Coturnix japonica: one gene and its partner. The protein of the gene in region 2 purifies or fractionates together with the protein of the main gene of each other region. This does not show direct contact. Links are inferred from orthologs where the notes say so. Each region holds a gene or a part of one and is shown on either strand. Other genes may lie near its edges. The genes, in order: MOB2 and STK38.

The links.
Region 1: the proteins of STK38 (region 2) and MOB2 purify together in Homo sapiens (affinity purification with mass spectrometry; 7 studies listed by BioGRID and IntAct, with this or other methods). This does not show direct contact. The link is inferred for Coturnix japonica from reciprocal best matches to the Homo sapiens genes STK38 and MOB2.

The regions. Positions count from the first base shown.
Region 1 is NC_029520.1:10,355,033-10,359,407, forward strand, and holds the start of MOB2 (MOB kinase activator 2), read right to left. Parts: upstream 2,933-4,375; 5' UTR 2,915-2,932; coding exon 2,778-2,914; intron 1-2,777. UniProt on the Homo sapiens protein: Stimulates the autophosphorylation and kinase activity of STK38 and STK38L.
Region 2 is NC_029541.1:1,927,032-1,931,542, reverse strand, and holds the start of STK38 (serine/threonine-protein kinase 38), read left to right. Parts: upstream 1-1,429; 5' UTR 1,430-1,614; intron 1,615-2,413; 5' UTR 2,414-2,415; coding exon 2,416-2,546; intron 2,547-4,028; coding exon 4,029-4,080; intron 4,081-4,188; coding exon 4,189-4,311; intron 4,312-4,452; coding exon 4,453-4,511. UniProt on the Homo sapiens protein: Serine/threonine-protein kinase that acts as a negative regulator of MAP3K1/2 signaling. Converts MAP3K2 from its phosphorylated form to its non-phosphorylated form and inhibits autophosphorylation of MAP3K2.

The DNA of each region.
Region 1 (4,375 bases), on a different chromosome or scaffold from region 2:
AGAGCAAGTCTCATAACTGAATAAACAACACCCGTCCTTATTGCTGCTTTGAACTTCATGAATGATCAATTGCTATTTGTAACACAAAAGTTTGTGATATCTTTCAAAAATGCATTGTAGAGCTGTCAGACATAAGTGAGCAAAACATTTACGCAATACTGATTCCCAGTGTAATTGGATTGAAAATCTTTTCTGTATGCAACAAAAAGTGTATTTTGTGCACTGTAAAGACCAGAGCCTTTCACCAGTATTGTTATTAAGGCCTCGCTCAGTAGAAAGATAGAAGATACCAACCAACTAGAGAAAAGACTTCAGGTTTATTCCGATGCTAAATTGAGATCTTACTGTAATGTGCAAATAGCCCATTTTGTTCAGCTTTCTTCCCTACGACTGACCTGGGTTTTTAAGCACCTCATCAAATAGAAAACAGCACCCTGAGAAGTTTTGCTGTGTGACCACGTAATCCTGTAACTGCTCGTTAATCCCTAATAAATTCACTATTGTTTATAAGCTTCAGCTTCCGTTTTTGTATATTAAGCACTCTGAGGCGATCAGAGACACTTGGGCTGCTGCCCTTTGTGGTATGATTAGAACTTACCCTTCCCCCACACTCCAGAACACAAGCACAGAGAGGACCAGTAAGGAATAAAGCAGATCTCATTCTAAATCTTCTATAGGATAAACATGACACAAGCTTGAAGGGTAGAGATCTAGAACAGAAGCAACTTGTTATTGCTGCCTAATATAACACCCTTGCACTTGAAGACTGATAACTTGGCATCATGAAGTTAAAATACAGACAGTGTTTCTTACACTGAACAATAAGAAAGCACGACTAATAACACAATAAGTTTATGTGAACACACACATGTAGAACTGCAAGTGTAAGCCTGCACATTACCCCAACAGCACAGAATAAGAAAGATCAAGGTACTTTTATTAGTGACAACTCATTTAGCAAAGAGCAATCATCACAAGGGGGACAACACCAAGACACAGACCAATACAACCTGCTCTCCTGAGGCACAACAAGCAGTGGACACAACAACTGAGTGGTGAATGGGAACAGTATGTTTTCCTACTATTTCTACAGCCTTTCCCTTTGCATATAATCAGAATTGCTGAAGTTTTCACTGGAGAAAGGCTGAGTGAATAACATTACCCAGGCTTCTGTTGAGACAGAAAAACATCCTCTTTCTTTCTCAATAAACAGCAAGAAGGATGTTTTCATACATACTTTGTTGCTAACAGCAAGAATAACGTAGGCAGCTTAATAAGTCCATCAGGCCTCTCTCTCTTTCTCCTTTCAAAATATCAATTCTCTCCTTTCCTCCAGCACCACAACTCCCATCCCTTAAAGAAATCCACAAACTGAACTCACAGAGATTTAAGAAGAGCACCAGTGGGACAAAGTGGGTTTGGTCAGGCAAGAAACATATCAGGAAATAGCTGAGAATGAGTACACAATGTACAAATGACTCAGGATCCACTCTCACTGCAATGGGAAAACAGGGAAGCCTTTTTCCAACATGACGGATCCACAAACTTGGAAAAGAAAGAAAATATAGCAGGAATATCAATATTTTCATAGCAGCTTCGAAAAGCCTAAAATACTTTTCCAAGAGGAAACCAATATTTTAATATTTTGACACCTTGGTTAAACTCTGTTTTGATTCCATTCTGCTTTACAATGTAATTTGCTCAAAATTAGTCCCAGAGCATAACCAAGCCATTTTGAGACAGCCAAACATCCTGCCAAGTATTGGATTTGACTTCTTTCTGATCGTAGCACAGCTCTGACACTCCAGCTTCTACTAAGAAAATGAAAACAGGCCACCTGCACTGGGTGGTTGGTACAGAAATAATAGCAAAACCAACCTGCCATTTACACTAATATTTTCACTGAGTGTACCAACACAGTATAGGTCAGAGGGGTGCAACATGAGCATAGTGGTACATGGCATACAGACATCTCCTTTCCCATATCTCCTACTAGAAGTAGTGCACTTCTGCTGCTCAGCCTGCTGGAGGACAACCCTGCTGCACACACACTGAGCATTCACCTCCATCAGATCGGGGGCCAAGCTTGCAGTCAAGCAGAGCAGGTACTGACAGCTGCTTCGGGAGCTCTCACAGCTGCTTTGAAGCTAATTAACAAGTGCCATACTTTCAAGAGTTCTTCCAATGATTTCTGCTGCAGATCAGAGGCGACACGGGCACGTGCAGCCTTCCTTACAGCTCAAATCTAGCAGCTGTGACACAAGAGCACATCACATAACCAAAGTGACAAAGACGTTGTTCAGGCACAGGATTAAATCAACGCAAAATAACAATAATAATAATAAAGGACCTACAAGCAGCAGAAATCCCCGGCAGTCTAGTTTAGCTAAAGCATAAACCTACAGCTCATGTGATTTGGAAGCAGAATTATTCACAGTTCACCTAAGCACAGGTCACGAGCACAGCTCATGCCAGCTGTAACCAAACGCGCTGCTCCAGCTCTCGTTGGCGCATCGGGGCGCCTTCACCGAGCCGCTCAAACCTAAAACCGGCAGCGCAATTAACACTATTAATCCCAGGCTATGGAAGCCCCCCGGCGCGGCTCTCATTTGGCTTAATCCCCTCCGAGCTCTCCTATTCCTCCTCATAGGAAGCCGCCTGCATTTCGGCCCGTAGGGTTGCCTAAAGCGGTCCCAGCTCCTTGCTCAGCCTGCAGGAAGCCCGGCGCCCCGCCGACACCCTCCGTTCCCACGGCCAAAAAAGGAAAGTAAAGTTACTTCTCCCGGCCGAGGCTGAATCCTCCGCACCTCTTCCTTCCCTCCGGCCCGGCGGGATACACCCGGCTGCACCGAGCTCTTCCTCCGGGGCCACGGCGGGATGCGACACAGCCCGACGGCACACACCGCTCCGTCATTCACCCCCCGCCAGGTGCCTCCATCGGAGCTCGCACAACGACTCGCCCTCGCGCCCCTGTATCTCGCGGCCGCTCCCCGAGGGGAAGGGGACGCGCAAGGGGGGCCCTACTCACCCCATAAGCCAGTCCATGGCTGGGTCCCGCCGCCCCGGGTGGCTCCCGCGGCAGCCGCGTCCTTCTCACCGGCCGCTCATGAGGTCCCGACTCGCCCCGCCCCAGCGGCCGGCCCGGCGGGTGCTGCCCGGCTGCGGCTCCGCTAACCAAGCGGCCGCGCTCCTCGGCTCTGACACTCGCGCACTCGGGCGGACGGAAGTAAACACACGGAGCTCGCCCCGCCCCGCAGCCGGACAACCCGGTAGTGGCACCCTCCGCACCCCGGTCCCTTTCCTGCCGCATCCTGGGGCACGCTGGGAAGTGTAGTGCGGTGCTTTGCTTGGGGATGTCAGTGATGGAGAGGGACAATCCATTCCGTTCCAAATGTCTCTGTGGGTTATTTCGGAGCCATAGGCGGGGGTTGGGCTCGATGAGCTTGGGGGTTGGACTCGATGATCTCTAGAGGTCCCCTCAATTCTTCAAATCTCTAGAGGTTCCCCTACAATTCTGTGACTCTGTGTTTATTGGTGTGTTCTAAAGCAGAAGTACAGCCACCTCCTTCATTGCTCCATTCTAAGACAAAGCTATTTGCAGATCTGTGTGTGATCACACACGTAGGACACAGGTTAATTAAAGGCTGCTGGTCCGGGTGCTGACAGCTGCATCCTTGGGTTCATTGCATGATTGTTAGCATCTTGAATTTGAGAAAATCTTAATCTCCATATCTTAGAGTTAGGGTACTATGAATAGGCTGAGGCTGGACTTGATGATCTTTGAGGTCTTTTCCAACCTGAGTAATTCTATGATGCCTTGATGCTTCTAAATCGTTGTTGCTCGGGACCAGCAGCTTCCCGAGGGCAGCACTGGCTCCTGGAGGCTGTGAGGATCCACCACTACTTTGTGGGCTCTGCTCTGACATCTGCACAACGCACACGTGCTTTATTTTGCCTTTGTAAACTTCCATAGTTTGAGTTGCCTTTGTATTTATAACACCAGAGGATGGGACAGAAGCCCGATGGCAGCAAAGCACCGCACACTTTGCAGAGCGGCCGGGACAAAGGTCTCGCACAACACAGAAAATATCAGATCAAACCATCTGCAGAAAATAATTCTCCTTTCTGCAGACACTTGATCCAGTCATTTTCTGCAAACATTAGGGAGCAGATGTCCCTCATTTGAATTATGTTTTCTTGTCGGCCTTTGTTGGGAATATTTTTGGCAGGGTATTTAAGGATGAGCTCTGCCCGGTTTTACTGAGGGGTGCATTGTACCCTGAGCGGGGCGTTGAGTCATATGACGCATGTTTTAAAGCAGAGATGACTCCCAATACAATGAGTTTGTCATGTCAGATTAGATGTTTTCCTCCTG
Region 2 (4,511 bases):
CCATAAAGACCCACAGAGACCTCATAAAGACCCCATAGAGCCCCATAGACACCCCATAGAGCCCCATAGAGCCCCATAGAGACCCCATAGAGCCCCATAGAGCCCCATAGACACCCCATAGAGCCCCATAGACACCCCATAGCACCCCATAGAGACCCCATAGTGCCCCATAGAGACCCCATAGAGCCCCATAGAGCCCCATAGACACCCCATAGAGCCCCATAGAGCCCCATAGACACCCCATAGAGCCCCATAGACACCCCATAGAGCCCCATAGAGCCCCATAGACACCCCATAGAGTCATGGGGCTCAGGCATGGCTCAGACCCTGAGTGTGGCATCAGGGTTGTCCTCCATATCCTATATAGACTTAACCTCCTTCCTCAGCACAGAGAACCTCAGATTGATGGATGCAAATGAGTGATTTTGAAACAGGGCCATAGAACCAGCCGTGCTTGTTTGCTAACTGAACCCTTTTTGCTGTTGCAGTCGAAGAGCAGTGACTGAGCACCAGCTCATGCATGATAAGGGGAGGGCATTTCAAGGGCTGAAGCGCCTCATGTGGCTCCACAACGCCCTGGGTAGCGTGCACACAGCCAGCAGCAGGGATATTTCCCTTCCAAATGCCATTTGGGATCCACAAAAGACCAGAGATCCCTCAGATCCCTACAACAGCATCAGCAGAGATGAGACTTCAAAGCAGCTGCTGGAAGTGATGGAAGACGAGCAAGGCTTCCCCCCTATGAAGAAGTATTTGCTGCAGAGTCTGAAGACCCCAGAGGTTGATTGGAACCCACGAGACGTTTTTGATCTCCTTCAAATCAAAGAGTTTGGTAGGAAGAGGAATCCAAGCACCCAGCACTTTTCCCCTTAGCCTCCATCCAGCTCAGCTTTAGATACGTGATGCTGTAAGGAAAAGCACTCATCCAAAGGTGAACTGCAAGAGAAAAGCAGCGTCTATTTGTTCCATTATTATTTATCAGTGTCCAGCATCCATTCCCTATTTATCAGCGTCCAACAGGGAGTCATTTAAGGACCAGGTTCCCTCCTTAACAGGTAGAAAACCACCATCCAGAGCCCGGCTGTGTTTCCTCCTATAGGTACAGATGGCTCACGGCTCAGTTGTGTTATACACCTTAACTCTGGGTTGGATTTAACCTCAAATCCAGCCTTTTAGAGACACAATTGCCATTTCCATCACACAGGCATGGCGTTTATCCACCCCCCAGCCACAAGGTGTTATAATAAAGACACCCCCACACCCTAAACCGCTCCGTGTTCCTTTATAAAACCCAAACGAACCAAATAACACAATACAACCCCAAAACCACCCCACCTTCGGGTGGCAGCGCGCATGCGCCGCCCCATTAGGGTGGGCTCAGTGCTCACCCCGCCCCTCGAGTCAAGGGGGGAGGTGGGGAGGATGGTGGCGCATGCGCGGTGCGGCGGCGGCTCTTAGGGCTCATAGGGGTGGTCGCGGTGGGGGGGGGGGTCTCCTTTGGTTCTTAACGGGGTGTGCTCTATTGGCCTGGATCACATCCCTGCCCCCCCGGGTTCCTCCGCTGTGATCACAGAGGTCTGCTCCTCATCGCCCCCTTCCCAAGGGGGGGCTCCGGTAAGCGCTACCATCACCGTTCAGTGCCCCTTTAATGGGGGTGGGGGCTGCAGGGGGGGCTGCTCGTATTGCCGGGTGGGGCCCTTTGTCCGCAGTCTTGATGTTTATCCTTCCCCCCCCCCCCAACCTGGGATCGCTCCCACTTTGCTCAGTGGGAAGCAAAACCAAACAGCGCTCTGCTAGTGGTTGGTTGGGGGGGTGTCAATGGGAGTGCTGTCTCGCTTTGTTTTGGGCTCAAATCATCGCGTTTTGGTGCATTTCGGTGAGCAAAGTGCCCGCAATGGTCCCATATAAAGTCCCGGCTGCTGTTGTTGGGTGTGAAGCGAAGCTCAGTGCTCCGGATCTGGGGGGGATTCAGTGTAAATGGGGGGAGTCCTTCAAAGCAGCAGCATCTCAATCGTTCCTTGGTTGCTCTGCTGGGTATTAGGAGCTGGGTGAGGTCGTTGTGTTTGGGATGGGAGCTCATGGGTTGGTGTTATTAGCAGGGAAACACTAAGAAACTCATTGGGAACAATGACTGCTTTCAGCGCTGCCTGAAATTGTGGGTTTTGAGGCACCGTGTTTCTTAAGTTTCCTTCCCTCTTATTCTCAGGTCAAAAATGTGCAAAACAGGAAGCTTGACTTCACCTTTATTTTGTAAGACTTTTCCCTGCTCAATCTGAGCTCTGGTTGTTCGAGTCTCATTAACATCCTATTAACATCCCCTCCGGTCCTTGCAATCCAGCATCTCCCTCCTGAACATCCCTTTGGTTTGAAGGTTGTTTGCTCTCATATCACCTGTTCCCTCCTTTCCTTACAGCCATGGCCATGACGGGCCCGACACCGTGTTCCTCTATGAGCAACCACACCAAGGAGAGGGTGACCATGACCAAGGTGACGTTGGAGAACTTCTACAGCAACCTCATAGCGCAGCACGAGGAGCGGGAGATGAGGTAACAGCACACGGGGTGTGTTAAGCACATTTAAAGCCTGTTATCATAGAGTTGGAAGGGATCTCCAGCAGTCATTGGGTCCTGCTGCAATGGACAGGGATCCATCAGATCAGGTTATGGACTGAGTAGAAGACCTGCTTGGGTTGGTCCCAGTGTATTTGCAATTAGAAATCCCCCCATCTTTCTGCTGTTTCTTTGCTGTGAGGCTGCACCACCATCACCTGGCACTGCCTTTATGCGTGGGTTAACTGAACCTATCGCACCCCCTTAAGCTGCTTGGTCATAATATACCAAGTCATTGCACTGACAGGTGTTATCTTTGTTTTCCTTTGTCCAGAAGCTTCTAATTTGCTGCGTACCCTGGAGTCGTAGCACAGGGATGTCTCTGCAGTGCTCCCAGCTTGCTGTGCAGTCTATAATCAAGAGTTTTCTAAGAGGTATCAGTGTTTATTTGCCTGCAGACTCACAGCCAAAAACAGAGCTCGACCCAAAGGGATTGCTTGGTAACGACAGTAACTGCAGGAACCTGGATGTAATTCAAACATCAGGATTGTCTTGTGGACTCATGGTCTTCCAGGCTTCACATAGAAGAGAGATTGAGGTCTAATCCAAACAATATCACTGATTGAACTCCTGGCTTTGCTTTCCACGTGTGGCTGTGCAGGTTGGAGCTGAAGTGTTGAGGTGCTTAGGGGGGATTTCAGCATCGCTCTGTTGTGCTGAGCTGCCTTGTATTGAATATGAGAGGAGATGTCTGGGCACTGCAGTGAGGGTGAAGCAGCAGAGATGTGCCTGATGGTGGAAGTGATAGCCCAGAATATTATCACACAGCAGCAGCTGTGCAGTGGCACAGGGGCCGGAAGGGGATCTCGCTGAGGGTGACTTGCATGTAGGCAGGGAATTTAGCAGACTTGTTGTGTTCCTTTGGTGCAACATGGACAGGGCAGGAGAAAACAACCCAAAGAAAACCCCAAAACTCACAACCCCAGTTCAGCCTGAATGCACTCAGTATTGGGAAGGAGTTCCCATAGATAATCATGCCCTGAATCCCTTTTCCACCCCGAACTCTTGTTTCCTTCTCTGCTCCCAGATACAGATGTGTCCATGGAAGAAGTGAGACTTTGATGCTGGAGTGTTTATGTGGGTTTAGCCTCACATCCAGCTGCTGAAGTTAGGGGTGGGAACTGACCTCACATCTCCTCGGCCTGTGTTCCATACAGTGACAGTGCACACCTCAATCAGACACATGAAACTCCAGCAGGTTTGGATTAGCAGCAGCAGAGATGGAAACTGCTGGAGCGTGGTTAAAGCAGCAGCAGGAGGTTCCTCAGGATTAACTTTGTCTGATTCTCTCTTATCTATCACATGCATTTATTACTCCCTTCACAGCAGGCAGAGACGGGATCTGTGCTGGGTTTGTGATGGGATTGAGAGAAAATGTTCAAGAATTCAACTTTCTTCTGCTGTTTATCTTTCCTTAAGGCAAAAGAAGCTCGAACAAATGATGGAGGAAGAAGGCTTGAAAGATGAGGAGGTAATTAATGAGGGGAAATTCCTTTTAAGGGTTAAGTGAATTTGGTAGCATCTACCATCTGTATTTGGAGTGACTGCAGAGCTGTGTTTTCCTCTCCTTGGACTATAGAAAAGGATCAGGAGATCAGCACATGCACAGAAAGAAACAGAGTTCCTTCGCTTGAAGAGGACAAGGCTCGGCCTGGAGGACTTTGAGTCTTTGAAAGTAATAGGCAGAGGAGCGTTTGGAGAGGTGGGTGCAGGAAAGATACCTACAAGTATCTTCACTGCTGTTTGCTGGAGGGCTCTTTCCATTGCCGTGCACTGTATAATGACTTGGGTTTGTGTAGTTCTGGCTGTGCTGTGTATGACTTGAGTTCTGTGCACTTTCCAGGTGCGGCTTGTCCAGAAGAAAGACACGGGGCACGTTTATGCCATGAAAATACTGCGTAA